4 linked regions of the Sus scrofa genome follow. The protein of the gene in region 1 interacts with the protein of each later gene in a biochemical or structural test. Links are inferred from orthologs where the notes say so. Each region holds a gene or a part of one and is shown in the gene's direction. Other genes may lie near its edges.

Region 1 (7,785 bases):
GCAGGGACCGAACCTGCAACCTCATGGTTCCCAGTCAGATTCGTTAACCACTGCGCCACGACGGGAACTCCCGCTTTTGCTTTTAAAAGTCTGCGTATTTAGGACGGAATCGTAGACCGCGCTCCCCTGGGCGTAAATGCACAGGACTAGAAATGTGTGCGATCCCTGCAGAGAGCCCCTGAAGGCTTGAGATCATTTCCTCTGGGTTATACATCCTTTCTTGGTAACAACCTCACCTCTTAATTGAGATGTAAATAGGGCTGGAAGCTAATATAACGTGTTCTGGGATAGATAACGGATCAATAGCCGCTTCCCTTGCAGACGTCTCGATGGAGATTGATAGGCCGATGTATTAAGACGAAAGCGGTCAGGGTTCCTTGAGCTCAAGGAACAGCCTGTCAGTTTTTCCTTTCGGATCAGGTAATTTTCGTTCCCCACCCCTGCTCATCACCAGCCTGATCCCCGGGTGAGAGTGCTTTTGTAAAATTGGACTTATGTTTTACAAACCACATTAAGCTTTAAAAAAAAAAAAAGAATAATCCTTGCAGGGTAAAAAGGAATCTTACCCTGCATTTTCGTATCTGTGCCAGAGGCAACCCATTCAGGACAGTGGATTCTTTGCTCAAAAGAATATCGGGGATGTCTGCCATTTAGATCCCTGAGCATTGACTGAATTATTCTTTTTCTCTTTTTTTATTGAAGTCTAGTTGACTGAATTATTTGAATTATTATAATGTCCTTACAAGTGCATGTGTGCCCTCCACACACACGCATGCACAAGACAAGGGCAGATGAACCACGCGTGGGGTTAGTGTTTCAGATTTTAGCCGGAGAGCATCGACTTAACGCTGGCCTTTGGGATCAGGGAGAAGGTTGCTTGAACTTTTATGTTACACGTCTAAAATTACAGTACGGGCAGTTCCCATCGTGGCTCAGCAGTAACGAACCCAACTAGTATCCATGAGGACTCGGGTTCAATCCCTGGCCTTGCTCAGTGGGTCAAGGATCCGGTGTTGCCGTGAGCTGTGGTTTAGGTGGCTGTGGCTCTGGTGTAGGCCGGCGGCTACAGCTCTGATTAGACCCCTAGCCGGGGAATTTCTGTGTGCCACAGGTGCATCCCTAAAAAGCAAATAAATACATAAAAGTAAAATTACAGTAGGATTCTCCATCAAATAAGTTTTTGTCCGTGCATTTGGCATTTTGATGGGTCTCCTATTCCTTCTTGGTTCAGTTTCTTGTATGTTACCAGACTCTGATTCCTTGGTGAAAGCACCGAATCCTAACCACCAGGCCACCAGGGAACTCCCCAAAGTCCTTGGCGTTGTAAATTTCACCTGTGGATAGTGAAGTTGAGGCATGGACCTGTCTCTCACTGGGTTCGGTTGGCAGACAGCAGTGGGTTTCGTTTTCTAGTGCTTTTCGTTATTTCTCTTCCAGTATGTGTGCACGACGGTCTCTCTCCTGCTCTTCTCTTTCTGCCTGCCTAGTTCCTCGGGCTTGTGTCGATCCCAGACGCCTCCTTTGAGAAGGGCCCAGAGAGGAAAAGAGGATGCAGGAGAAGGGCTTCTGCATGGGACTCGGTGGCCCGCAGCCCTCACAGCCTCCCTTTGAGTGTTTATTAGAGTTCACAGATTCCAGCAAGTTTCTGGTTGATCGGATAAGCACATTCATGCAAGTGTAGAGAAGCCTTCGCTGTCCGATCCTGAACTAGTCAGTGTGGGTTTAGGCTTGTGCGTGTGTGGGCTTTAGTGACCAGCACGACTTGGCACAGCATGAGGACGAGAGAACGGGCACCTATTTCACTTGGTATTTAAATGTACGCGTTTATTTGCATCTGGAAGGCGTATTTTTTGGATGTTTACCTGAAAAGAAAAGCTGTTTATGACTCCCGAGCTCTCCTTACTGATATTTTACATTCGTAATGGAAGAGCTTCTTATATTTGCTTTTCGAAGTGAACAGACCAGTTTTAAGGGGGAAGTGTTGAAATAATTTCAACTTTGGTTACTGAGGAAACCTGAGCTTTCCCTGGCGCAGCCAGATCGTGTTGAGGGCTTGTAATCAGGCCCAGGTTTGTGGGTCTGCCGTCGCCTGTGAGCCAGGGCTGGGGCAAGCCCGGTTGCTCAGTGAAACTCTGTTTGTCAGTCCGAAGAATGAGGACTCTGAGGTTAGATTCTGTTAGCGATGCTTTCCCGTGAGTTGGCTTCGTCACAGGACTAAAAAAGTTAATTTTAAAACTGGGATGGCATTTTTAAACCCGTATGTTTGCGATCATTATTGCAGGGTATCTACAGGGCCAGGACGCCAGAAGAATAGAAATTGTTCACTTTAGAACTAGATCCCTTTTCCTACATGAAATAGACAGCAATACTTAAAGCGAAGAAAAACAGAACAGAAAAAGTCCTCCAGTTCATTGGCTCAGATGTAAACTGAATTCTGCATCTGGTGGCGTCTTGCCATTTCTCTTGTTTTCATAGTCCTTTATTTACTTACTTGTTTACTTATTTTTGGCTTTTTAGGCCCACACCTGTGGCATATGGAAGTTCCCGGGCTAAGGGGCAAATCAGAGCTGTAGCTGCAACCTACACCGCAGCTCACGGCACCGCCGGATCCTGAACCCACTGAGCGAGGCCAGGGATCGAACCCGCGTCCCCTGACCCACGACGGGAACTCCCCATGGTACTTCTTTTAGCTTCCGGCCTTGTGTTCTCCTGTGCTAATTTGTGTTGCTAACTAGTTTTAAGAAGCGCTCCATTGAGAGCGCTGGTGCGGTTTTGCAGCACAGTTTTATCACAGCAGTAAAAACGTCGTGTTAGGAAGGGGAAAGGCCCAACCTCAAACGGTTTCAGGGGAGGTCAGGAGTTCACATCGTCACCACCATCTTTCCAAGCTCACCAGCGTTCTCGTGTCCTCTCCTAGCTGTCTGCTCTCTGCAAGCACTTAGACAACCTGTGGGAGGAGCACCGCGGCAGCGTGGTCCTGTTTGCCTGGATGCAGTTTCTCAAGGAAGAGACCTTGGCCTACCTGGATATCGTCTCTCCCTTCGAGCTCAGGCTGGGTTCTCAGAAAAAAGTGCAGAGAAGGGCGACTCAGGCCTCTTCCAGCCCCGAGCTAGATTTCGGAGGAGCTGCTGCCTTTGACCTAGACCAAGAGGAAGCTGTGGACGAGAGAGCCGTGCAGGATGTGGAGTCCTTGTCCAGTCTGATCCAGGAGATCTTGGACTTTGATCAAGCTCAGCAGATAAAATGCTTTAACAGTAAATTGTTCCTGTGCAATATCTGTTTCTGTGAGAAGCTGGGGAGCGAATGCATGTACTTCTTGGAGTGCAGGCATGTGTACTGCAAAGCCTGTCTCAAGGACTACTTTGAGATCCAGATCAGAGATGGCCAAGTTCAGTGCCTCAACTGCCCAGAACCCAAGTGCCCTTCAGTGGCCACTCCTGGTCAGGTAACTCTCCTCTGTGCTGCCAGCTGCCCCCTCAGTCTCTGTCACCAAGGGAGACATCCTCTCAGCGCCGTCCTTGGTAGGGCCTGGGGCCAGCCCGTGCTGTTTTTCCCGTGTGTTCCTCAGGCGTGCTGCATCTTCCTTCCCAGCTTACACTACAGCTACAGCTGTAGACGCTGCCTCTGCTGGCTTCGGAATGGGAGGCCCCTGGCAGGGACGAGCATTAAGAAAGCAAAGGCATTTTGGTGATTTGTTTTGTCCATCTGCCAGGTAGGGGCACTACTACCTTGTTTTGTGTGAGTTTGGATCCGAGGGCACGGACAGCCAAATGTTTGCAGACTTAAACGCAACGACAGCCTGCTTGAGAGTTCCCGCTGTGGCCCAGTGGGGTAAAGATCCAGCGGTGTCTCTCTGGGAGCAAGGGTTCAGGCCCTGGCTCAGTGCAGTGAGTTAAGGAGCTGGTGTTGCCACAGCTGTGGAGTAGGTTGAACCTGTAGCTTGGATTCAATCTCTGGCCCAGGACCTTCCATATGCCACCGGTACCGCCAAAAAAAAAAAGAAAAGAAAAAAAATATATGTGTGTATATATATATATATATATATATATATATTTCAGCTTTATTAAGGTGTAAATATACCCATTTAAAGTGTACAGTTTGCTTAGTTTTGACAGATGTGTAGACGCATGTAACCCCCATCTCAGTCAGGATACGGACTTCCCATCCTTGGCTTGATTTTGAGGTGAGATAGAGGGTTTTAATTTACGTGCATCTGGCTTATACCAGCGTCCTAAGGATCTCTTCAGGGTCAGAGCTGGTTGGGACATCATCAGACCTGTGACGTTGAGTGTTTTCCTCCAGGTCAAAGAGCTAGTGGACGCCGAGTTATTCGCCCGCTACGACCGCCTTCTCCTCCAGTCCACCCTGGACCTGATGGCAGACGTGGTGTACTGCCCCCGCCCGTGCTGCCAGCTGCCTGTGATGCAGGAGCCTGGCTGCACAATGGGCATCTGCTCCAGCTGTAATTTCGCCTTCTGTACACTCTGCAGATTGACCTACCATGGGGTCTCTCCGTGTAAGGTGACTGCAGGTGAGCCGTGACTGCGGGCACTCAGTCTCCCAGTGCAAACAGCCTTATCGCTTCAGTCCTTGAGTTTGGAAGTGTCTGTTCAACAGATGGTTTTGTGTCAGCTACTGTCCTAGATTCTGGGGATGGGGTACAGCAGGGACCAAATGCCCTTTGTGGAATTTTCCTTCTCATGGGGGAGATAGGCAGACAAAATAGGCAAGAATATTAGATGGCAGTGAATACTGAAGAGGGAAAAATAAATAAGCCAGGGGCAGGAGGTGAAATGTCCAAAGGGAAAGGGGCTTGGGATTTTATTGAGAAACACCAGCGAGGCCTCGCTGGCAGCGTGGTTTGAGTGAAGGCTTGAAGGAGGTGAGGCGACAGGCCACGTCGGGGGCGCATGCCGGGGACGGAGCGGCCAGGGAGTTTGTGTCTGTGCATATAGAGTACTGTGCGTCCTGGAAGGCAGGCACGGAGCATCTCAGCGGTCCCTGTTTCCACGGTGCACACGTGTGCTCGGCCGTCACGTGCTTTCTCCGTGCGCCCAGGGAGGCCTCGGGATCTTCCCCAACGCAGCGCTTCAGAAGGCCACCCTCTGCGGAGGTGGGCACAGAGAGGGCACCCTGTTAGCCACTTCTGCTCTGGATGAAGATGAAGAGGTCAGGCCCTTGACACCAGTTTAACTCGACTTTGGGGACTTAGCCTTCCTCAGACCAGCAGGGGTGATGGCCATAGCTGCTTCATGAGGTTACTGTGAGGTCGAAGTGACCTGTTGTCGTGCCACTCAGACTTGGTAGGGTTGTTACACTGGCCTGTGACATGACCAGTGCAGAAATTGAGAGTCAGGGTTTGAAACTGTAATGGCGATTTCCCAGAGTAATTTTATGTCGGTCAAATATGATAAAAATTTAGGCTTAGGTTTTTTGTCTCTATACTCTCATTTTTCAAGTTATTCATTTGATTCTGTTTTGCAAAGGTATTGGTCCTTGACATAGTGGCAGGAAAAAACTGGTCCTTCACCATAGTTTGAGAAGGGGCTGATGCATGTCAAACGCAAAATGGTAACTTTTTTTTTTTTTTTTTTTGCTTTTTTGGGGCCGAACCTGAGGCACATGAAGGTTCTCAGGCTAGGGGTCAAATCAGAGCTACAGCCGCCGGCTTACACCACAGCCACAGCAATGTGGGATCCGAGCCACGTCTGCAACCTACACCATAGCTCACGGCAATGCCGGATCCTTAACCCACTGAGCAAGGCCAGGAATTGAACCTGCAACCTCATGGTCCCTAGTCGGATTCATTTCCACTGCGCCACGACGGGAACTCCCAAAGTGGCAACTATTCATGTCGGTGTTGCTGTAGTCACCAGTTATTAGCAGTGTCATTATCTCCCAGAGAGTCCCCGGAAGGGAAATGAGTGAATACGGTACTTGCAGGTGCTTGGAGCAGAGCCTCAGGGTTACGGGCAGAGGGGCTGGAGAGCTCAGCGGCGTGAAATAGAAGCCTGGGCTTCGCTTCTGTAGCCTCGTCCCTGAGGGGCTGCAGTGCAGTTCGGGGGTTTAACAGTGCTCGGGGGGTGGGGGAGACCCCAGATAGCGGCGGGGCTCTGGCGCAGTTAGAGATCTCCTTTTCCGGCTCTGTGTGTTAGATGTTACCGCAGAAGATGTGTGATGTACTACTTGTTTTATTCTTTGAGAGCATCACGGTGATACCTTTTGTCCTTGAGACGTCTAGGACCACAAAAACGCTTTGAATGAGTGGAGGGGCTCAAAAATGGCAGGATAAAAACATTCGTGTCTCCTGCATCTGCGTCGCAGTGATAGAGCCTGGGAATGAAGCCACCGAGAAAGGCTTCTCAGCCGAAGGAAAAGTGCAGGTAGCACCTGCCCCAGAGGATGTTTGCTGCATGAAAAGGGAGACGGGCCTCTAAACTGTATGGAGAAAGCAAACTAATAAATAACTTAGCTAGAACATTCTTGAGAGAGGTCTTTAAGTCATTGTGTTGAGCCATTAAGGTAATAGAATTGTGAGCAAAAGCTTTTGTCTGCCAGTGAGGCTTGGGGAAAGGCTGCCTGTTGGGTTGGAGGTAAGTGCTGAAGCGGTGGGAACCCGACTGAAGGGTATTGAGGGGCCAGCTTGACAGGAGGACCTTTGCAGTGCCTGTGGGTGGTGCGTTTTCTTCACCGGCTGTTTTAATATAAAGTCGTCCGCAGCTGGTCTTTGCCCTTGAGCCAAAGGTGCTGGTGCTGGCCTTGGGAGGCCTTGTTATTATCAAGTGGTGCCTGTTTCAACCTTTGTGTCATTCACATAAGTTAATCTTTGACTGTGTACCGCTAGTTGCACACACATAGCAACATTAATAACTCACAATCTCAGGGAAAAGATTATTATTCTGTCACCCTTATTACCAAGTCCAGGTTTTCTGCTTGGAAGATTCCTCTCTGTTCTCTGTCATTTGTGCATGGGTGATTTTTATCTAGTTGCAACCTAAATAGGTTTTTCTCCTGGATTCCTTAATGAGTATCTTGTTTTGTTTTATTTTATTTTGTTTTATTTTTGTCTTTTTCTAGGGCTGCGCCTGCGGCATATGGAAGTGCCCAGGCTAGGGGTCTAATCGGAGTTGTAGCCGCCAGCCTATGCCAGAGCCACAGCAGCGTCAGACCCAAGCCTCATCTTTGACCTACACCCCAGTTCACAGCAACGCTGATCCTTAACCCACTGAGTGAGGCCAGGGATCAAACCTGCAACCTCATGGTTCTTAGTTGAATTCGTTAACCACTGAGCCGCGACGGGCACTCGGGAATATTTTATTTATTTGTTTTTAGGGCCGCACCTGCAGCATATGGAGATTCCCAGGCTAGGGGTCAAATTGGAGCTGCAGTTGCCTGTCTACGCCACAGCCACAGCAACACCAGATCCAAGCCGTGTCTGCCAGCTACACTGCGGCTCACGGCAGTGCCGGCCGGATCCCTAACCCACTGAGCAGGGCCAGGGATTGAACCTGCCCTTTCCCGGATACTAGTTGGGTTCGTTTCCTCTGAGCCACAATGGGAACTCCTGTAACTAGTATTTTGAGTTATAATCATCCTAATTATAAGTTTTAATAACGAAATATTTTGTCATTAAGTAGTTTCCTCACGCATAATGATTCCCTAGACACTTAATTTGTTTGCCGTTGTTACATGCACCCCTGTGCCTCTGACTTGACTTTGGGTCACTTCCTTATGATAAAGTCCCAGGTTAGCATTGCTGAGTGGTCCAAGGTCATGGCCGTCTTT
Region 2 (7,027 bases), on another chromosome or scaffold:
CTTTGGTGCTTAATGTGGTCATCAGAAGTAATATAGCTGTGAGGAAAATTTTGTTGCTAACTTACTATAATTCTGTGTGCTGAGAGGTGCTTCTCTTTTTTTTTTAGGTATTTGTTTGCATTTTATTATATCAAGGCAAGGGTTTGAAAATTTAGGGGTTTCTTGCTTCTTCACAGCTACGTAGTCTGTGGTTTTTGCCTTCTTTTAACACATCTTTGATCTGAGGCTGATGGGTTGTTAGAGTCCTGCATCAGGGTGTGTCTGAAAGATAACTTCTGTTTTTTGGAGAGAATCCACACATTAAACAAAAAGGGAGAGGCAAACTTTTCCTCTTTGGGGGATAACACTGTAAAAATTGGGATGTGCCACCACCTGCTCATCTTCTGATATATTATTTCACAGTGCTGGCCCCAAAGGCGATAACATCTATGAATGGAGATCAACCATTCTAGGGCCTCCAGGGTCCGTGTATGAGGGTGGTGTATTCTTCCTTGATATCACTTTTACACCAGAGTATCCCTTCAAGCCTCCAAAGGTAAGAAATTCCCCATGATTTATGCTAAAATTTACATATTCCCATGAAAGATAATTGAAGCTTTTAAAATTGTTTTTAATCACAAAAAAGTAGAATTCTGTTATCTCTCTCATTCATTCATTCATTTATTTACTTATTTTTGTTGTTTTAGGGCTGCATTTGCAGCAAATGGAGGTTCCCAGGCTAGGGGTCTAATTGGAGCTGCAGCTGCCAGCCTACGCCACTGTCACAGCAACGCCAGATCCAAGCTGTGTCTGCAACTTACACCACAGGTCACGGCAATGCTGGATCCTTAACCTACTGAGCAAGGGCAGGGATTACACTGGCATCCTCATGGATTTTAGTTGGGTTCATTACCCATGAGCCACGACAGGAACTCCCAAGTTCTCTTATCTCTTGACAAATCTCTAAATACATTTGAACATACACAAAACGCTTCTTTGGGTTGACTTTGCCTCATTTGGCAGAGACCATTAAGACTAAGTGCTTTGTTTAAAATCCTGCTCATAGTCAGCAACCCACAAATAATCCCCTTTCCTTTGCAAAGACATTTTTTGAACAGATGAAAATGTTGTCAGAATATCCATGCACTAAAATAGAGAATCAGAAACTCCTGGCAGACAAAGCCTTGGATTCTGTTCCTCATCATTTTCCTGTCTCATGAAATCCTTACCCAGCTTTGAGTTTCTCATCTAGGTTAGGAGGGGACTGCTCCAGTCACTCTTCTGCAGCACACTGTGATTCTCACAGTCAGAAGGAAAACCTCCTCTTGGGGATAGGGTACCCCTGAATAAAGGTGCAGTGGCAGCTGCAAGAAGTGATTAAAAGTCTGCCATTTTTTAAAAAGTGGTAATGTTTTAGGTTACTTTTACTTTGGAATGATTCAGTGTATCACAAATAACAGTTGGAAGACCATACGAAATAACCCAGGCTCATGTGCCTTTATGTTGATTTGCCCATTGCTGTCTGTGGTCCTTACCATTTCTGGTTCCTCACCTGTGGAGATGCCAGTAGAGTGAATTCTGTGCTTTGAGTCAGGCAAGATAGCTGCATGGTCTGATTTAAAGGTGAGAAAAAGAAGAAACACCTCTTCAAGTGGATATTTCAGCTTTTAGGGTATGTGATCATTGTTTGCTAAGCACTTTGTCTTTATGGACCCACTGGTTGTTCTTCTTTTGGATTATGACTTTAAAGCTTGCTTTGGAGCCATGTAGTACTACCAGCTAACACTAGAGGTCAGCAAACAATTAGCTATTCAAACTGGAAGCATTAGGAAGATATTTAAAACATTAAAACCGCTAAAGATGAAATCCAGAAATACTGAAGTTACCTTGCCTTTTGTTGATGGATATTATTTTTAAATGAAATTGAAAATCCCTGAGAGTGTTATCAATGCACACTTGGTAATCTCAATTTTAATAGTCTCTGTTGTGGCTCAGCAGAAACAAACCCTGCTAGTATCCATAAGGATGCAGGTTCAATCTCTGGCCTTGCTTTAGTGGGCCAGGGATCCGGCATTGCCTCGAGCTGTAGCTCTCAAGACATGGCTCAGATCCCACGTTGCTGTGGCTGTGGTGTAGGCAGTGGCCACAGCTCTGATTCAACCCCTAGCCTGAGAACTTCCATATGCCACGCAGGTGCAGCCCTAAAAAGAAAAAAAAGGAAAAAAGTCTCTAACTTGTTTCTTATCAGCCTTAATTAGTTAAACTGTTAACTGTGTTTACTTTTTTAAAAATTAAGCGTGTATTTCTTTAGAAGTTTTAATCAGGGCAATTTAAACTGAAAAGGTAATTTAGTAAAAAGTTACGTTGCTGGCTGTTTAAATTTTATTTAACAGTGCCTTATATTTTAGGTTACATTTCGGACAAGAATCTATCACTGTAATATTAACAGTCAAGGAGTTATTTGCTTGGACATATTGAAAGATAATTGGAGCCCAGCCCTCACCATCTCTAAAGTTCTTCTTTCTATCTGCTCACTTCTTACAGACTGTAATCCTGGTAAGGTTAATAATTCTTTACCTTATTTTACTCCTCCTCAAGAAAAAGTTCAGATTTTATTTTTGTACAAGCTTTCAAAGGACAAAACCTGGTTGGTTTTCAAAGGAATGTGTAATCCAGAGTTCAGTCTAAGCTGAGGACTTAATATAAGACCTATAATGTTAGGTTTTAACATTTTCAGTCTTTCACTCTCCTCCCCCCTCTTTTGCCTGTTTCCCAAAGAGTTCTCTTAAAACAACCGCATACTTGGAAATGTTGAGTTACCTGCCCCAGTAGCCTCACCACTGCCTGTGAGTCGATAGCTGCTCACTAAAGTGGCGGTCAGTTCTGAGATTTTTTCTCTGCTATAAACTTAGACAGTGGGAGGTGGGGGCGGGGGGCAGAGTGGCAGGGAGGCTTAATTTCCTCTTACTAAAACTTTTTCCCCTAGATAAACCAAATATAAATTATTAAAATTCTGTTGAGTTTCAGAGAAATACTAAACTTAGTGAAAGTTTGGCCCTTTCTAGGCAAATAGCATAGAGGTAACTAGTGTTGTATTGCAATAGCCTTGAGGACATCGCAGTATTCAGTGTCATAATTGATGCCATTCGCAAAAGGTCACGTGAATACAGCTGATGTTCACCGTAGTCTAGGGCCTCGAACATTCCGTACCCTAACATGTAAGAGCAAAACCCTCCAGTGTGGGGGTGCGGGTTGGGGAATCATTGTTGGACACGAAATGGAGTGAGGAAGGAGATGAACCCAGACCAGTGCTGAAGCGTGTACACTCTGTTTGGATTAGGATAGCCCCCTGCACACATGCTGGGCTTTTTTGTGTGCTTTTTTCTCCCCACATGCTGGTTTTTAAAGTCTAGAAGGAAAACTATCCAGAATGGAGTGGTTTGATCACAACTGCTTTTACATTTCTTCCCGAGCATGTCGCTAACTTATTTGCTAAAACTTAAAGTGTTCTTGCTCTTTCTTCAAAGTAATCTACATTCTTTTCTTCCAGCCGACCCCTTGGTGGGAAGTATTGCCACTCAGTATATGACCAACAGAGCAGAACATGACAGAATGGCCAGACAGTGGACCAAGAGATACGCTACATAAATTGGGTTTTCACAATTCTTTACATTATTTGTCTGTCACAGAGAGCTGCTTATGATTTTGAAGGGGTGGGGGAGGGTGGGAGTTGGTAAAGAGTAGGGTATTTCTATAACAGATATTATTCAGTTTTATTTCCTAAGATTTTGTTGTAACTTAAGGTATCTTGCTACAGTAGACAGAATTGGTAATAGCAACTTTTAAAACTGTCATTAGTTCTGCAATATTAGCTGAAATGCAATACAGAGAATAGATATTTGGGTTCAGTTGCTTGTAGTCTGTAAATTTAAAAACAGCTTAATTTTTTACAGGTTACACACACAGGGCCATTTATGTAAAGTCCTTCAAGACTACACACGTTTTTGTTTAAAAAAAATTGGAATCTGTTTTCCCTTCTTGTAAGGGAACGTTGATATTTAACAGCTTTTAGAGACTGTCATCTCATATATAGAAAATGGACGTGTAACTCTAAGACACCACGTAGGAAATGAGTAGTTATATATTTTATTTTATATGCCAATCTACTTTATTGTGAAAAGGTAGAGGTTTGAATCAGGACCTGTAAAACCTGTAGTAAAATACCTTAAGCTGTTAACTGTAAGGCGTGGACTAGGAGTTGCCCAGTGGATTGGTTATATGTTGTGGACTACTTAAGTCTGCATTTGTTACTGTGCTAATAAACAATATTAAAACGACCACCTAACACTGTCTTCTTTTACTTTCTATTTCTTACTTTGTACTTTCTTTTTCTTTTTTTTTTTTTTTTTTTTTTTTTTTTTGCTTTTTATGGCCACATCTGCAACACATGGAAGTTACCAGGTTAGGGGTCAAATCAGAGCTATAGCGCCATCCTGCACCACAGCCACAGCAAGGCCAGATCCAAGCTGCATCTTCAACCTACCGCAGCTCACTGCAATGCCGGATCCTTAACCCACTGAGCAAGGCCAGGGATGGAACCTGCATCCTCATGGATACTAGTCGGGTCCGTTATCACTGCACCACAACGGGAACTCCTGTAGTTTTTCTTCTTGATAGGTCTTTGCTACTAAAGCAATAGAGAGGTAATGCAGACTGAATACTCTGGTACTGTTTATCCAGCACCTGTGTTAGGATTGGTACTCTTAGTTTATCCAGTAGCCCTGCAGGGTAGATTTTGAGGTGTCTTAGAAGAAGTTTAATAATCTAACTCACTGTCTTTCAAGACAGAGTTCTATTGCATCTTTTTAAAAGCATTTTCCAGTGTGCAGATGCTGTGGTGGTAGTACACAGGAAGTGAGTTCTCTTGGAGAAGTACTACAGCCCCATCAGAGGGCATTCAGGCAGTAGCTCCATGTATATGCCTGTCCACTCACCCCAGGCCAGTGTGAGGGTGCATACACATTCACTGAGCATTTAAAAAGAATATGGGAGGAGTTGCCGTCATGGTGCAGCAGAAACGAATCCGACCAGGAACCGTGAGGTTGCAGGTTAGATCCCTGGCCTTGCTCAGTGGGTTAAGGATCTGGCCATGAGGTGAGCTGTGGTGTAGGTCACAGACGTGACTCGGGTCTGGCCTTGCTGTGGCTGTGGTGTAGGCTGGCAGCTTGTAGCTCTGATGAGACTCCTACCTGGGAACCTCCATATGATGCCGGTGCAGCCCTAAAAAGCAAAAAAATAGAATATGGGCATTCCCGTCGTGGCTCAGTGGAAATGAATCTGACTAGCATCTGTGAGGACACAACTTCGATCCCTGGCCTCACTCACTGGGTTAAGGACCCAGTGTTCCATGAGCTGTGGTGTAGGTTGAAGACCTGGCTCAGATCTGGCGTTGCTGTCGCTGTGGTGTAGGTCACAGATGTGGCTTGGATCTGGTGTTGCTGTGACTGGTGGCTACAGCTCCAATTTGACCCCTAGCCTGGAAACCTCCATATGCTTCAGGTGGGGCCCTAAAATTAATTAATAAAAAGAATATGGTCTAGGCTGCATTCAGTAGAGGAGCAGACTGCAAGATCTAGTCTATTATTTTTATAATTGTAAAACTATCCATGTTAAAAACCTAAAAGATAAATACTCAGTAACTGGGTGAAAGCAGGGGATGACTTAACCATATCTTCTGAGTGACTTTTTTTTTTTTTAACTAAAAAATGTACCTGTGATGAGAAATTTTATTTTGTGGTCACACCCTCGGCATGGGGATGTTCTTAGGCCAGGGATCAAACCCAAGCCACTGCAGTAACACCACCAGATCCTTAACCAGCTGAGCCACAAGAGAAACAAATTTTAAATTACTATAAATCAACTAGTACTGCCACTATGTAAGTTTTATATCTTTTATATGCAAGTGGTTCTTGGCTTGAACTCACTGAACTGAGCCAATTGAGTTTAAATTTACTGAACCTTGCCATAAAAAGTATTTGAGATACTACTATTTACCAGATTTTTTTTAACCTTTCTTGGTGGGACAGTTTATCTCATATTTTATATTTAAAACCAATAGTTAACTGCTTCCACAGTTGAAACTGCTAAGTAGCTTGCATCCTACTTTTAAAATTAGTTAAAACATTATCAACCTGCTAAATACAGTTAGCCCATTACTCAAATCCTGCCAAAATCTTCAGAGAACCGTAGCACAAACTCAGATATCTAACCTGAAAATTTTTCCAGGAGTTCTCTGTGGTACAGCAGGTTAAGGATCCAGTGTTGTCACTGCTACAGTGCAAGTTCGATCACTGGCCCAGGAATTTGCACATGCTTCAGACACAGGCAGGAAAAAAAATCTTCCAGAAGGTGTTAGTATGTCTTGTGGAAAATGGATGCTTAACTGTCCTTAAGTGTTTAGTGGGTTCCTAAAAGAAACCTACTACTCAATTCATGCTACATGTAATTTGAACAAAGCTGAATTGTTTATCAAGATCTCTACCAGATACAATTTAGCTTAACTTAGTGTCCACATTGTTTACTGTTCATGATCTATGTCAATATATAATCCTACATGTTAGATTATTAGTGAACTTGGCGTTCCTGTCGTGGCTCAGCAGTTAACAAACCCAGCTAGCATCCATGAGGATGTGGGTTCGATTCCTGGCCTTGCTCAGTGGGTTAAGACCCGGCATTGACATGAGCTGTGGTATAGGTCAGAGATGTGGCTCAGATCCCGTTTTGCTGTGGCTGTGGCATAGGCCAGCAGCTTTAGCTCCAATTAGACCCCCTAGCCTGGGAACCTCCATAAGCTGCAGATGTGGCCCTAAAAAGACAAAAAGACCCCCCCCCCAAAAAAAAAAAATTCGTGAACTTGTAAAAAACAAAGCTGTATTGGAGCTAAGTTTCCACAGTTAGTTATACAAAATGACAGCTTCTGAAACAGGTTAAAGAGAGCTACTCAAGTATATTTGCATACCACTCAAACTTTATTCTTTTGACAAGTTCA
Region 3 (7,785 bases), on another chromosome or scaffold:
GACCTTGGATGAGAGGAGTTTCTATGGAGTGGTGAGGTGTAAAAACCTGTTAAGGTAATTGAGCAGAGAACTGGAAGGGGTAAAGGAATCAAGGTTTTTGTTTTATAATAAGGATTGGGGAAATGGATTGTAGTATTTATTCATGTGGGTATGATTCACCAGAGAGGGCGAAATAAATGATCCAGGATAGAGCAGAATTACTGGAGTGTTGTCCTTTTGGAAAAGAGAGATTGAAAATGAGTGAAAAAAAAAATTGAATAGCAGCATGAGAACTAGTGAAAAGCACCTATCTTGAGATTGTCAGCAATTAGGACCCATTTTCTACTCAGCTGTGAAGCCTCAGTGGCTGGTCAACTACTAATCTATAAAATGTTGTATTTTGAATTAGGGTGGAGTCAGTAGTGCTAACCCCACCCCTCATGTCTTGATTAGCAGGTGGTACCTTTCTGAGAAAGATATGGGGCTCTTATTTGAGACAAAGAAGCTAACAAGGGCTAGATTTTAGCCCTAACTCACCTTAGGCTAATTGTGCTTAAAACACATCCATAAGCTGCAGCCCTACTCTGTCTACTCCAGGACAGTTATAATAACCATATCTTTAGTGTGTTGTAGCAAAGTAGCATAAATGAGAAGAAAGCAAATTTAAGAACACAATAGTTTGGTTTGGAATCCCAGTTCTTCATCAGCTAGCAGAAGGAATTTAAAATGGATCACTTTTTGTGAATTGGTTTCTTCAACTGTAAAGGGGGTGGTTGGCTTCAACTACGTGTTTTTCATGCCGAAATTTTGTGATTCATTAAAATATAGTATTCCCCCACATCGCTATCCATCTATCTGAGGCCTAGCATGGTTTTGCTTAAGAACCAAAGAATATCACTGAGGAAATTATTTCTTTAGAGAGTAGCTCTACTTGGGTTCCTACCCAAGTAAGTATTTGCAAAATTTGACTAGAGATTAAATTACATATAGTAGCACTTGAAATTATAAGAGGAAATATAAATATAGCAAAGGTCACTGAGGTTAGTAGAGATTTATTCAGACATTGTCCAGATTCTCTCTGAGGCATTTGTAGCTTTGGGACATGTGGGGAGTTATTTAACTTTCTGAACTTTAGTTACCTCATCTAAAAATAGGAATATAATAATAGTACCTACTTTATAGATTTGTAAGGAGAATTAAATGAGATATGCACTATGATGCTTTGAAAAATGTTTGGCTTATTATGGAGTAATGTTATTAGCTACTGTTATTATTATTAATGTGTGACACATATAGTTTAGAAATGTTTTTAGTAAAGCAGTTGTGCTATAAAAGTCTCTTAAACTATAATTTAGTTTTATAATGATTACTTTACATCATCAGGGAAGAATTAACTTAGAAGAGGAAATGCCATTGAATCAGGTTAAACTTTCTTTTTTTGAAGAAAATTGGCACTTCATTTTGTATGTTTTTAGTTACAGTGCGGATTCCCTTAGGGAGTATACCTGATTCTCAAATGATGGCAGAACAATGAACCACTGTTGTAATTAGTTCCAGTTGCTGTATATGCTTAAAATTTATAAAATAGTATTTTTCAAGTTTCTTTTCCCTAAGTAGGCTGTGATAGTAAAATTTTCTTGTTCATATATATGCATTAAAGATAGGTTTTTGAAACATTTTGATTTTACTATCAAAGTTTTTACACTCTTTTTCTATGACCTGTTTTCAGGGCACAGATTTGATTATTGATAGCATTGCTTACTTGATCTTTACAGTCTACAGTGTATGTTTTATAGAATTAATAAGATGTGGTTAAATCATTTAACCTATACCTGAATGTCCTATTGTAATTAATGCAGTTGCATTATCAATTCTTTTTTTTTTTTTTTTTTTTTTTTGGTCTTTTTTTGCCTTTTCTAGGGCCGCTCCTGTGGCACATGGAGGTTCCCAGGCTAGGGGTTGAATCGGAGCTGTAGTCACCGGCCTACGCCAGAGCCACAGCAATGCGGGATCCTAGCCGTGTCTGCAACCTCATGGTTCCTAGTCGGATTCGTTAACCACTGCGCCACAACGGGAACTCCTGCATTATCAATTCTGATATGCACTTATTTTAAACTAAACATGCAGATCATTTCTAAACTGATAGGTCACTTAAGAAAAGCTTTATATATACCGTAGTTCAGAAAAACAAGTTAATCTGTGATGTAAAATTGAGGGAAAAATGGAAATCTGTAATGTACATTTGAAGAGGGTCTAAGGAATATTAGATGTGTCTTACAAACAACTGAATTTGGATTTAATTTGAATTATCTCATTGTATATTATAAATTAAATGATAGTTTTGAACACAGTGTAATGTACTTGGAATTTGGTACTAGCTTGAACAACATTCACTAAAAGGAACCACAGCTCTTTGAAGAAATGGCTGATTCAGGGGTGGGAACGTGGAACATATTTATGCCAGAAAATAAGGAAGTGTTCCAAAAAACGATATGGGGTCATTTTGAAAGTATTTCCACTGGCCAAATATGGGGCAGTTTGAACATCAAAATAATTAAATGCAGTAAGAATTCTAAATCATTAGGGGAAAAAAAATGGAACTCATGAAACTTCATCTGTAAAACACATTTTTATACAAACAGGAAAAGAGAGGGCTCAAGGGCCAGCTGGTAAATATGGAGGAATGCTGAAGTTGGAAAATGATGATTTTATCACTATCATGATGAAGTTTAGTTCAACCAAGAATCGCAAATTGATGTTAAGTCCGGGGAATAAATTTGGTGAAGACCAGGGTATTTGCATGGTCTTAAAGTGTCCAAAGGTTGCTTATTGGTTGCAGAGGAAAGATACCAAGTAAGAGGTAGGAGAATGGGACAGCATTTGATCTGGGTAATGAAAATTAACATCACCATTGTACCTCTGGATGTGACACCTTGAGAACATAGCATCACTTATGTACTCTTCTAGCCAGGAATGCACTCTCTGCATCTAATCATGAGGAAATATCAGACAGGTTCACAATGATGAGCATTCCATTAAAAGAACTGCATTCTTCAAAAATGTTGATATTACAAAAGGCAAAGTAAGACTGAAAGGCTCTCTCTATTAAAGGGGACTAAAGACACAGGAAGGGCATAGACGATCAATACCAAGACTGGAATCATGTATCTGAAGGAAAACTAAAAATCTTTTGGGGCATTATTGGTCAGTTGACAAAATTATTTTGCAGATTATAGATATCATATAGATTGTACTTTTACTGAAATTATGGCTATATTGCAGTTGTATTATAGGTTGTAGAAAATGCCCACTGAAATATTTATGGGGAAAGGGCCATGATATATTCAGCTTACTCTCAAATGGCTCAGAAAAAAAACACTTTTTCTGTGTGTCTGTGGGGTGTGTGTGCTTTGTGTGTGTGTGTGTGTGTATATGTTTGGTGGGGTGTATGTATTTTAGGAGGGGGAGAAGGAAGGGAGAGAGGGAGATGATAGAACAAATGGAGCACAATGCTAACAGAAGGAGAGTCTGGATAAAGTTAAACAGGTGTTCCTTGTTCTTGCTTTTCTGTAAGTTAGAAATATTTCCAAACATGTTTATATACATATGCGTGCACAAGTTAGTTGGGGCTTATTTTTTATATATTTACTGTTTATTCTAGATTGCTAATTTGCCTTTGATACTTAATTGGTTTAAGATATTAATATTCATTGCTCACAGATGTACACATTGATTTTTAATTTCTTTTAAATAGTGCTGGGCCTAAAGGAGATAACATTTATGAATGGAGATCGACTATACTTGGTCCACCAGGTTCTGTATATGAAGGTGGTGTATTTTTTCTGGATATCACATTTTCATCTGATTATCCATTTAAACCACCAAAGGTAAGAACCTGGAAGTGCATTTTTTAATGTTCATTCTTTTCCAAAATTAATTTATTCTAGAGTTAAATGTGTGGATGCAGTTATTTTTATTTGATTGTTTTTCATTTGGAAACGCTCATATAACCAGGAATGTTAAAACTAGAAGTAATTGATTTCTTTCACAAATAACTTTGTAATCAGCAAGAGTTTGTTAATTGTATGCCACTTAGTACATCAGTAAGCAGGTAAATTTTAGACTTATGAGAGAAAAAAATCCTGTGAACTTTGTGTAAGGAACCTATTGAGATAAAAAGTAAATCTGACCGCTTCTGGAAATAAGAATTAAAATAAATTTGTGCTGAATAGCCTATCTTTATAGATCAGAAAAAAACTAGAAAACTATAGCAAAGAAGAGGGAACTAATATTATTTAATAAACTAATTTTGTGCCCTCTGTAATGATGAATTAATGGGAATGAAGATGGCTGGGTTATTTATGCCTCCTTGTTGTCTCTGAATATGAACTGGGTGGATAAAGAGAGAATGTTTGAGCTGTGCCTTGTGATGACTGGCAATTAATTTTCAAGTATTAAACATAGTAATTATTTGATTAGCTTTCTCCTCTGACTTCCCCCTATAAAATGGTCAAGACAACAGTTAAAAACCACCGATATTAAGCCTGAGCATAATTAGAACCTTGTTATGTCAGTGTTATCAAGCCCTTAACTTTGATAAAATGTTTTTCTTTTCAACATAGTTCCTTATATTCCCTCTACTATTTAACATTTATGTAGTGATTTAATGCCTCCACTCAGGTGCATGTGTGTTGTGTTTGTGTGTAAAAATAAAGGGTTTATTTTGTTTTAAAAAAGAAGGCAGACCTTTTCTGTTTTGCTTTATTGAATAAGGTAACAACATTTCCACCTAGTGGTATTTACCTTAAATTGCAGACACCGAGGTTCCCTATCACCAAGAGGTATTTGCTCTTAAGTATAGCTATCACTATTTTTTGAGTGCTTTACTATGTGGTCCCATCAGAATCTAAGATCTTGAAATGACTGTCTTATTGCAAATTGTGTTCACATTCCAAATGACACATTCTAAATGCCAGTATATCACTATTCAGTTTGCATTCAGTGCTTAAATTAATTGTTATAGCCACCTTTTAAGAGCTCTGTGTAACTAGTATGTGCTATGTTAGAACAATTCTAGTCGTCCTTACTCTTGGGGATACATTCTGAGACCCCAGTGGATGCCTAAAACCACGCATAGTACCGAACCGTATTTAATGCCATTTTTCCTATGCGTAAATACCTATGATAAAGTTTAATTTATACATTAGGTGCAGTGAGAAATTAACAATAACTAATAATGAAGTAGAGCAATTATAACAATATACGGTAGTACAAGTTATGTGAATGTTACCTCTCTCCAAATACCTTATACAAAATTGAATGCCTTTTCCATTGTAACTAAGTATTTGTGGCTGAAGCTTTTACAGCTTCAGGTACAACAGCAAAGCTAGCACACATTTCTTTTTCATTTTTCACAATTTCACAGATAAAAGTCTTATTCTTACCATAGACCTTAGCTGCCTCAGTGTAGGATTTTTTCCCCCCTACCCTTAAGTTGAGAACTTTCACCTTTTTACTTAAAAATCAAGCACTTTACAGCTTCTTTTTGGAAGATTTGAATTGCCAGCATCACTACTCTTGGCTTTGGGGCCATTTTAAAATAAAGTACAGATTACTTGAACACCAGCCCTTCAGTAACACAGCAGGTGATCTGATAACTTAGCAGACTGAACAGGATTGGGCTGAACACCCAGGACGGTGCATGATTTCTTCGCACTACTCAAAACAGTGTACAACTTAAAATTTGTAAATTGTTTAATTATGGAATTTTGCCTTTAATATTTTTGAATCCCTGTTGACCTTGGGGGGCTAAACCAAACCTAAAACCACAGAAAGCAAACGTGTGATCTCTTTTTCCCCCTTCCCTGCTAGACCAGTGGTTTCTTTACCATTTTTAATTATGCACTCTTCTCAGAAATACACTTTTGAGGGCTTTAAATGTTTTCTTCCCAGACTCCGTGTGGGAGATCACAGTATATTGCCAGTTGAGAGGGATCTGATACTCTCTTTTTCTTTGCAACTCCAAATTAAGAATTAACCACCCGATTTATGTTGATTGTTTTGAAATTTTTGTTCCCATCATTTATTTTATTTTTTCACATTTCTCAAGGATTTAAGTTTCCTTTCTTCAGTGTCTTAAGACCTTACTTGTTTTATTTTATTGTCTTAGTCTAACAGGACAGAGAGCTATTTGTGGAAATGAAAGGCTGAGAAATAGAAGAGCCAGTGATATCACCAACCTTCCTCTAAATCCTTCTCCAGTATTTTCTGACACAGGGCAAGAAATTAGCTGAGTTGATGATTTTTTTTTTATTAAGAAACTAATGTAACTTGGTTTCATGTTAAAAAAAGAATTCTTCACCATTTTCTCTTAACTTTGGCACCAAAATGTTTCTGTTCTCCCTCACTTCTTTTCTTTACAGGAGTGTGTGTATGTATGCCCACACACAGACATAGAATTACTATCTCACTTATTTAAATTAAACAAACCAATAACTCTTTTTGGTTTAAAAACAAATATAGTTTTTGCTATACTGGGTAAAAACACAATTCTTTGAACTAAACAATTTTGTTATTACTTAAACCTAGTTAGTTTGAGCTCTTCAGTGAAATTACTTGCTATTTGCCATGATCTATGGTATATACCACTTCATTTTTGCTAGTGAGAGTTATGGTTTATAATGAAACTTTTATTTTCTTTCTTTCTTTTATGTCACTGCCCTTAGGTTACTTTCCGCACCAGAATCTATCACTGCAACATCAACAGTCAGGGAGTCATCTGCCTGGACATTCTTAAAGACAACTGGAGTCCTGCTTTGACTATTTCAAAAGTTTTGCTGTCGATTTGTTCACTTTTGACAGACTGCAACCCTGGTAAGCAGACTTTTATTAATACATACAATGAGGCTATAAAAACTGTGGATTTGAGAAGTAAATGCTGTTGGTAGAAAGATCAGCCTAAAACGTTTTTTGAGGAAACTATAAATGCCATTTCAATTAGAATAGACCAAAAGCTTCACAGTAGCTTTCTTTAGTTTGTGAATGATGTGCTATCCTGTAACTGTTTTCTCCCTGTTATTGATGGGCTCTATTTTCTAAATTATGGTGGTGTGCAAAAGACTTTTGATGAGAGTAAAGCAAGTCTGTAACACCACTGCCACCTCCTCTTGGTCCTTCCATGCCGTGTCCTTTAATGCAGCCATTCAGTAATAAAGGGCTTCTTCTTCCTTCCTTCCTTATTGGATTATGGTTAGTTGTATTAGATGTAGTAATAGTGGGTATAAAAGTGATAGCTGATGAGAGAGTTGGACTAGATTATGATTGTAAAAACTCAGAGATAAAGTCATAATGCTTAACTGCCATACATGATCTTTTAATGTGGGTAGCTGACTTGAAAAAGTAATGTTTAGGCTTGGGATTTCACATATCCTATCTTACTGTGTGGTCATTTTTTTAAAGTGGTTGACTTATTTTTTCTAAAAATTTATAATCAGTCACCAAAAGCTTTTACCATTCCCTTGGCCCATACACCCAAGATAGGTAGGTAGGTAGGTAGGTAGATAGATAGATAGATACAGGGATTTTCAGAAAGCTATTCAGAAGTTCCCTGGTGGCCTGGTGGGTTAGGAATCTATTGGCTTTGTCACTGCTGTGGCTTGAGACACAGCTGTGGTGTGGGTTTGATTCCTGGCCTGGAAACCTCTGCATGCCTTGTGCATGGCCAAAAAGAAAAAAAAAAAAAAAAAGAAGAAGTACCTGTTGTAGCTCAGCAGTAATGAACCTGACTAGTATCCAGGAGGATGCGGG
Region 4 (8,442 bases), on another chromosome or scaffold:
GTCTTTTATCATCTCAGAAGTGATGCACTATCATGTCTCAGCATTATACCAACCAAGCCTAGTATGATATGGGAGGTGAGTACACAGGGCGTGAATACCAGGGGGCAAGAATCCTTGAGGCCATTTTGAGACTGACTACCATACTTGGGCAGGGGCTAAGAGAAGAAGAAACACTCAGACTCTTAAAAAGATATTTTCATCTTAATTTAAGTGAATGGTGCTGGCTGATATTTTGCAGTGTGCAACATATACTACCGTGCATAGTGGCCAAGCGGTAGTCCCTGATCAAGTGGGAAAGTCAGGGGCATTTGTCATCAGCATTCTTCCATTTCCTATTAATAATTCATTCATTTATCCATTTGTTCAGCAAACATTTGTTGAGCATCTTGGTAATATGTAGGCTCTATATTAAAGCCCAAAAATAAGAGGTGTAGGAAAGGAGTGGGGGGGGTGGGGAGTTCAAGATGACATATTAATGGACCAGAGCAGGAAGAAGAAGGAAAGTGACATACTTGCTTCAGAGACCAGGTTTAAGTCAGAGGGGAAAGTAATTGAGAAAATCAAGTACAATTTATGTTTTTAACCCTGGACTCTAGCATGAGTAGACTCATGGACTCTAGCTAAAGTGTCCTGAAATTCACAGACTCTAGAGCCAAATTGCTGATTCCAAATTCCAGCTCTGCTGTGTGATTGCGGGCAAGTGATTTCCTCTCCCTGCCCTTTGTGGTCCTCATTTGTCCAGTGGGGTTGACTGAGTGAAACCAACCTGATGGGGTGTTTGTGTGCTCAAATACATACAGTGCCAGAATTTTTCCTGGAACAAATTAAGAACATGTTAATGGCTATTTGATTACTGAAGAAATTAGAATAATGACGCCAGGAATGAAAGAGGTCAACTTCATTCACTCAACTAGTATTTACTAAATAGATACAACAATGACCTGCAGTCGATGAAATCTTTCTTCCCAAAGTGTTATATGTGTAGGGGAGGACGAAGAAGCAGGAGCAGAGGAGAAGGGGAAGACTAAAATAAATAAGTAAAAAATATATTCTTTCAGATTTATTTGGATGATAATGAAGAAAAATAAAGCAGAAAAGAGAAATAAGAGGTGCTGGGGGAGGGTAGAATGTTCTAGAGATAGGAAACTGTAGGTTCAATGTCTTGAGGATGAGAAAGGCTGGGTGTGTTCCATGTGAGCAAGAAAGCCACTGTGGTTGGAAGGAGAAAAGGGTGGGGTAAGGTCGTGCAACATGAGGTCAGAGGGGTCCTGGCTGGGGGTGACAGGCAGATCATGTAGGGCCATGTGGCCACTGTAAGATCTTTAGCTGTTACTCTAGGGTAGGAAGCCCCCCTTTTTTTTGTTTTTTTTTTTGGTCTTTTTGCCATTTCTTGGGTCGCTCCCTCGGCACATGGAGGTTCCCAGGCTAGGAGTCTAATCGGAGCTGTAGCCACCGGCCTACACCAGAGGCATAGCAACGTGGGATCCAAGTCGCATCTGCAACCTACACCACAGCTCATGGCAGCGCCAGATCCTTAACCCAGTGAGCAAGGCCAGGGATTGAACCCGCAACCTCATGATTCCTAGTCGGATTTGTTAACCACTGTGCCACGATGGGAACTCCAGGAAGCCCCTAAAGTTTTGAACAGAGGAGAGACCTATATTAACCCATGTTTTAAAGGATCACTTAGACTGTTGTTTGCAGGGAAGGAATTGGGATGTGTGGGGAAGGGAAAGGGGAAGTAGAAAGATCAGGTAAGAGGCTATTCTTGAATGATGATGGTGGCTTGGAACAGGGTAATAGCTGTGGGGAGGGAGATGGGAAGAAGTGGATACTTTTAGGACATATTTTCAAAGGCAAAGTCAAGAGAATTTCCTGAGGAGTTAGATATAGTGTGTAAAACAAGGAGTCAAGGATCGAAAACTCTGTGAGGACAGGGATTTTTCTCTTTTATTCAATGTAGTATTCCAAATACCTAGGACAGTGCCTGGTACTCAATAAATATTCCTTGAATCAATGAAAAAGGTAACTCTTTTTAAAAAAATTTTTTTGTTAGGGCCGCAGGTGTGACATACAGAAGTTCCCAGTCTAGGGGTTGAACCAGAGCTGCAGCTGCAGGACTATGCCACAGCCATAGCAACATCAGATCCGAGCCGCATCTGCAACCTACACCACAGCTCATGGCAATGCCGGATCCTTAACCCACTTAGCGAGGCCAGGGATTGAACCAGCAACCTCATGGTCCCTAGTTGGATTTGTTTCCACTGCGCCACGATGGGAACTCCGTCTTCTACTCCTTTTATAAAGTTTAAAGTTGTCCTTGCTCCATCTCTGGCCCTGCAGCTGCCAATGATCAGGACTGAAAAAGGCAACTTGGATACTTTCTGCATAGAAGAGTACTTTACTATAAAACATGCCCTATGAACAAACAGAAACCAACAGGATATATACCCAAGAGTACACAGAAGAGTAATTAATTTGGAGAAAAGCATAGAGACCTGGGAAATGGGGATTCTGCCGTCTATCCTCACCAGACAGTTGCAAAGCATACTGAAACACAATCAAGAATATGAGATTACTAGAGTTCCCTTGGGGAGTAGTGGGTTAAGGATCCTGCATTATCACTGCAGCGGCTTAGGTTGCTGCTGTGGTGTGGGTTCAGTCCCCGGCCTAGGAACTTCTGCATGCTGTGGGTGCCGCCAGGAAAAAATAAAGAAAATGAGAATATTAATAACCAAAAATAACATGGGGTAAAATAAATACATACACATTTAAGTCAGTCTATGAAATGTTTTATTTTGGTCACATTCTAAATATTTAAAAATCTGATGCATTTTATGTCATCTTTTCCTATTGCACTGTGTGAGAGATATAGGTGGCTATACAATTGATGATAGGCCCAGGATATGGTAATTACTAATCCTCCAATACATAGTTTAGAGTTTAAGGGTAACAGGGCCTGCTGATGTCCTTGAGTGATACATAGAGTTGATATCTAAGAACACACCCACGTTTTGCTCAATGGTGACTTGTGGAGGCTAGGAGCAATTTTCGAGGATGCTGTAAAGTAATAGTCAATTCTTTAAAGACGGTATTTGAAAAAGGATGTCCAGCTCTAGACATATGTATGCATCTTGACTTTCTCCTGTCTCCTGGGGCCTTATGGATGCTTGAGTTGCTCTGGACCTGGCTGTCATCAACAACCTGACGAGGCCGTCATCAGCCCTGCAGGGCAGGACATTTTGTCCACATACAGTGACAGATCCAGGGTCTTTGTATAGACGTTTAGGAGCAGGTGGAGGTGGGGGAAATTTTGTGGAAGCTGAATTTGCATAGGAGACATAGGTTATTTGGGGTTAAGATTATAGGGGAACCTAACATTTCCTCGAGTCACCCGCAGCACTGCTCCTGTTCCCATACCCTTCAACGGGGACCTAACAGCAGCATCCCACTTGCTCTGAGAGTGCTACTCCCCCACCCACTTGCTCCCCTCAGTATCCCAGGGCAGAACGGCCTGGAGATCTTTGCTCTCACATTCTGGGCCCCAGGGAGTCCAAGGCAGAAGTTGTCCATCCTGGCCGCAAGTGGACTCCACGCCTTTGGCAACAGAGTTAGTCCTTAGCCACTTCGAGAAGCTTTGAAGGTAGTGCGAAGCCAGGGCCGCAGCGGCCGGGGATAAAACCCAGCCCCTGCTTCTCCTTGGAGCAAATCCCAGCCCCCCCCGCCCCACCCCCAGCCAGCATTTCCCTTTAACGCGCGTGCCCATCAAGGTCCCCGCGTCCCTCCCTCCAGTCGGCCCCGCAGCCTGTTTCCCTCGTCTCTCTGGGTCCCGGCTGCACCTTCTCCGTGGGACGCCCCTCGCCCGCCGCCGCTCGCGGGACTCGGCTGTCACTTCACTTTTCTGCACCGCCTCCCGGCTCCCCTGCCCGGCCGCGGGGGTACCCGCCGTGCGCGCTCCCGCCCCCTCGCGGCCGCGCGCGCGAGGAGGAGGGGCGGAGAGGCGCGCGGCGCGGCGGGCCGACGTGGGGCTCGCGCTCTCGCGGTCTCTCCGGGCGGGCACGCGGGCACGCGCAGTCACGGGCGCGCGCGCGGACGGCCGGGCGGCGGCAGCTCCCGGAGGCGGTGGCTTCACTTTCCTGGACTCAGGGGCGACCACAGCAACAGCCGCGGGCAGCAGCCTCGGGACCCGGAGCTGGAACGGCCGGGGCGGCGGCGGCGGCGCCGAGGGTGAGTCCAGGCGGGCACGGGCGCGGCGCGGACAGGCGTGGCCGTGCGGTGCGCTGTGCGTGGGTCTGGGTTCGGTGACTGGACGGTCCGCGGGGACAGCCCGTCCCCGGGGCCTCCTCGGCGCCCCTTCCCCCGCTCCTCCGCAGCCCCCTCTTCCCTGGCTGGGTCTCGAGCCCGCGACCTGCGCGGACGCCCCTCCCTCAGGTACTCGCCGGGCCGCGCCGGGCCCCCGCCCCGGCCCCCGCTCCACTCGGCGCCGCAGGGCTCTGCCGACGTCGCTCGCGCCCCGCTTCCCTTCCCCCGAGCCCAGTCCCCGCGCCCCCTCCCGCGAGCCTCCTGCCCCTGTTTCTCGCCCTTTCCACCCCTCCCCCTCCTCCCCATCCACCTCCCTCTGCCTCTTCCCTCCCTGCCCATCTTCTACCCCCTTCCGTTCTCAGTTCCCCATCCCTCGCCACCCTCCTGGCCCCTTCTCTCTCCCAGCCGCATCCTGGAACTAAGTCTTAGCAAAAGTACAGGATAAATGTCACGGTGCAAAGTGCCCGGCTTGATCTTTTGCTATTTTCCCTAATTGCATAATTGCTGCACATGGTGCCTCTCGGCGAGTGCCGGGTCCGGTTCCCTCGCGCCGCCGCACCCCCGTGGCTCGCCTGGAGACCTTGCGGGGTGTGTTTGTGTCTGCCCTGGTGTGGAGTGTGTGTTGTCTGGGTCTTTTGTGAAGCCCAGCGCTTGTCACAGTTTGGAACCCAAGCCCATTTTTCTCCGATCTTTTCTCTGCAGCCCCCGCTGGCCTGGTTCGAAACTGGCTCCCCCTTCCCCTCGACCCTATCATCTCCCCCTCCTCCCTCTCTCCTCTCTTAATGTTTTGATCCTTTTGCCCTTTACCATTTCTAATGAAGATAAAGCGTAGCTTCTTGTGGCTTTTTTTTTTTTCCCACGACCAACCAGAAATGTCCAATCCATCTTCCCTTAAGGAAATTAAGGCCGCTTTAGAAAGACCTCATCCTGTGCTCGGTGGCTGTTACACCGATTTGCATGTTTTCAAGATTCATCTTTTTGAATTGTTTATTCTTGAGAGTCCACTAAAATATTTTAAAGTTCAAAAGGAAATGCTAGGATTTACCTTAAGAGTATCTAGTCTTTCAGAAAGATATTTAAGTTCTGCTTAGTTTTTTAAAATCCCCAATTCTTAAAAAAGTATGTACCTGAATATGCGGTAGTTCTGTCTGGGCCTTCGAAATCTAAATATTTGTGTTTTCTCACCTTGGATGCTCCTTGGCTCTTTAGAGTTTTGTATGTGGGCTGATGCTGATGAGGGAGGGTTTTCATATAATGTCACACCCCATTATTGAAAGGTGCACCCCTCCCCCAGGACATATAGCACTTTTTTCTCAAAACTTGAGTGTTCCATAATTATTTCGTGCATAAATATCTTTGCAAGTAAGTACAAGCTGGATATTGCTAGGTATCTGTGTAACCTAAATTGTTTTATTTTACGTTTTAGGAAAGTTTAGAAACATGAGTGGGAAGACAAATAGCAAGAAATCAGATGACAGAGTTAAACGATTTCCTGTTGTAAAAGCTCAAATGAACACTTGCTTTTGCAGTTTTATATCATGAGGTACATTATAAGGCTTATCTGGATAGTAATCCGGATTTATGGAGTGACAAGTTGTTTTTATGTTTTCAGTAATATTATTAACTAAATCAGTTCAGTTTTATGGAACAGTGGGAGCTTCATTTCATATGTTACTAATTTCCAAGACTGTAATTACAACATAGAGTACATAGCTAATACATGTTTAGGTAATTTTTGTGTTGAAGAATGGACCATATCTAAACTCTTAATTTAACACGTATTTGAGTGAGGTCTATTTTACTATTTTATGTTTAGAAAGCAAGTTTTACTCTGAGTACAAAGTAAAAATATAAATTTCAGTATGTTAATATCTTTGAAATTGTCATGGAAGCTTAGGTTTATAACTGTGGGGTTCAAGTTTATCTTCCCTCTAGATTAGATAATTGAATCAAATTAGCTATTTAGGAATTAATCTTAAAAGATAAAATTAAAGTGCTGATTTAGAAGATAAGAGTTTTATTTCAAAGCTTTTATTCATTTGTAATTTAAAGAGAACACCTTGTAAGTACACAGTCTTATAACTAATTAAATGCTTATAGACTGTTTTTCTTCATAAAATTAGTTGTCACCTAAGTAATGTAATACTTTTTCCCCATGCTTTTCCTGTAATCAGGCATTCAAAAAACAAAACCAATAGAAATTCCCCTTACTCTTGATATTTGAAAAAGATATGAGAACTTTGTTTCTAAAAGTTTTTATAGCGGTTACTAGTGGCCCCAGGGGAATTTATCATCTGTAGGTTTGGATGAAATAAGGTATCTTAGGTCAAAAGTGGAAATAATATTTTTTTCTTTATTGTGAAACTGTAGAAATTATACATCTATTTGGGTATTTTTAATAGTTCTCTAGTGAACTATTTATTCTTTAGACTTCTGATATTCTGGAGCAGTTTATAAAATTTAGATTTCAGATTATGGCTCAGCTTATATCCCTGAGTAGTCTTTTAAGTAATTTTATATACTCATGGCATTATTAGATATTGTGTAAATACACATAAATAAGAGTATTAAGAAGAATGTGTGTAGCTTTGTAACTAATGTAATATACAACTGAAATTCTAGGCATAGTTTATTAAACTGAAGCTGGAGCTTCAGTAAAAAGAATTTTATTTCCTTTAGGTTTCTGTATATTTGTCACATAATGGATTGCTTCTGTTTTAAGATATATAAAATGATTTATCACTCATTTCACATTTCTCAAAATATTGCTAGCAGTATTTTGCTGTATCTGAGGGCCTTTCCCTGAGAATAAGAGCTAACATGCTCTTATATACATATTTAGAGGGTTTTAAGTTCTGATATATTTTAACTGAGAGAAGTAAGCTGAAAAAAATTACTAAATCCAAGAATGAGAGTTTAAATGAAATAGAAATAGAAAAAAACAAGGATTATATTAAGATTGTTGAGCTACATGTGAAACATACTGATATAAAATTTCAGTATTCTGTGAGGTGACTTCAGTGCTTGTAAAAGATGCCACAGCTCTGGAGACTCATGCTCTCCATTTACTGCATAGGTGGGAAAGCAGTCACTTTTCCCCACATGTTTCAGAGCTGCTTTGGGCAGACTTATTTTTGTTTGGCAAGAGGGTGGGGGAGGGGACTGTTGGGGGTTGGTGGAGTGTTTGTGTGATATCTTATTGAAGGCATTCAGTATTTTCTATTCACTCTTCACTCCTCTGTGCTTACCATGCCTTCAGTTCTCTTGCAGTGCTTTTTGGTTTGTCTTAACCATAAAAATTTCAATCCCATGACGGTTTGTATTATGAAATAACTGGTTTAGAGCAAGCTGCAAGTTAAATTTTTGGTGATGATGAATTTTAATCATTGTCAGCTAGCTATACATTTGGACTAATTATAATAATTAAAAACAGTGCTTTATTTGAGGTATCTTTCTTTTTCATATTAATTCTTATTTTAGATCTATCAAATACAGTTTTATTTCAGGTCTTGATTTTTTTTTTTTTGCTTTTCTAGGGCCGCACCAGAGGCATATGGAAGTTCTAGGCTGGGGGTTGGTTGAATCAGAGCTGCAGCTGCTGGCCTACACCACAGCCACAGCAACTCTGGATCCGAGCCTCATTTTTGACCTACATCATGACTCAGAGCAACGCCAAATCCTTAACCCACTGAGCGAGGCCAGGGATCTAACCACTTCCTCATGGATCCTGGTCAGGTTTGTTACCACTGAGCCACGATGGGAACTCCTCAGGCCTTAATTTGATTAAGAGTAATATAATATCTTTTTCAAAAGGAATTTTTCCCATTTATATATGATTTTTAAAGGTATATTTTGTGTTGTTAATGTCACCTCTTTTTTTTTTGTCTTTATAGGTCCACACCCACGGCATATGGAGGTTCCCAGGCTAGGGGTCTAATCGGAGCTGTAGCTGCCAGCCTACGCCACAGCCACAGCAACACCAGATCTGAACTGCATCTGCGACCTACACCATAGCTCATGGCAATGCTGGATCCCTGACCCACTGATCGAGGCCAGGGATCAAACCCACAACCTCATGGTTCATTTCCGCTGTGCCACGATGGGAACTCCTAATGTCACTTCTTAAAGGTAGTTTTGTTT

The links.
Region 2: the proteins of RNF14 (region 1) and ubiquitin-conjugating enzyme E2 E1 form a complex in vitro, tested with the Homo sapiens proteins (3 studies listed by BioGRID, with this or other methods). The link is inferred for Sus scrofa from reciprocal best matches to the Homo sapiens genes RNF14 and UBE2E1.
Region 3: the proteins of RNF14 (region 1) and UBE2E3 form a complex in vitro, tested with the Homo sapiens proteins (2 studies listed by BioGRID). The link is inferred for Sus scrofa from reciprocal best matches to the Homo sapiens genes RNF14 and UBE2E3.
Region 4: the proteins of RNF14 (region 1) and UBE2E2 form a complex in vitro, tested with the Homo sapiens proteins (2 studies listed by BioGRID). The link is inferred for Sus scrofa from reciprocal best matches to the Homo sapiens genes RNF14 and UBE2E2.

What each region holds. Positions count from the first base shown.
Region 1 is NC_010444.4:143,581,971-143,589,755, forward strand, and holds part of RNF14 (E3 ubiquitin-protein ligase RNF14), read left to right. Parts: intron 1-2,917; coding exon 2,918-3,445; intron 3,446-4,302; coding exon 4,303-4,531; intron 4,532-7,785. UniProt on the Homo sapiens protein: E3 ubiquitin-protein ligase that plays a key role in the RNF14-RNF25 translation quality control pathway, a pathway that takes place when a ribosome has stalled during translation, and which promotes ubiquitination and degradation of translation factors on stalled ribosomes.
Region 2 is NC_010455.5:10,679,496-10,686,522, forward strand, and holds the end of ubiquitin-conjugating enzyme E2 E1, read left to right. Parts: intron 1-402; coding exon 403-535; intron 536-2,387; coding exon 2,388-2,535; intron 2,536-3,529; coding exon 3,530-3,627; 3' UTR 3,628-4,324; downstream 4,325-7,027. UniProt on the Homo sapiens protein: Accepts ubiquitin from the E1 complex and catalyzes its covalent attachment to other proteins. Catalyzes the covalent attachment of ISG15 to other proteins. Mediates the selective degradation of short-lived and abnormal proteins.
Region 3 is NC_010457.5:86,552,681-86,560,465, forward strand, and holds part of UBE2E3 (ubiquitin-conjugating enzyme E2 E3), read left to right. Parts: intron 1-3,733; coding exon 3,734-3,866; intron 3,867-6,704; coding exon 6,705-6,852; intron 6,853-7,785. UniProt on the Homo sapiens protein: Accepts ubiquitin from the E1 complex and catalyzes its covalent attachment to other proteins. In vitro catalyzes 'Lys-11'- and 'Lys-48'-, as well as 'Lys-63'-linked polyubiquitination.
Region 4 is NC_010455.5:9,994,100-10,002,541, forward strand, and holds the start of UBE2E2 (ubiquitin-conjugating enzyme E2 E2), read left to right. Parts: upstream 1-4,072; 5' UTR 4,073-4,227; intron 4,228-8,442.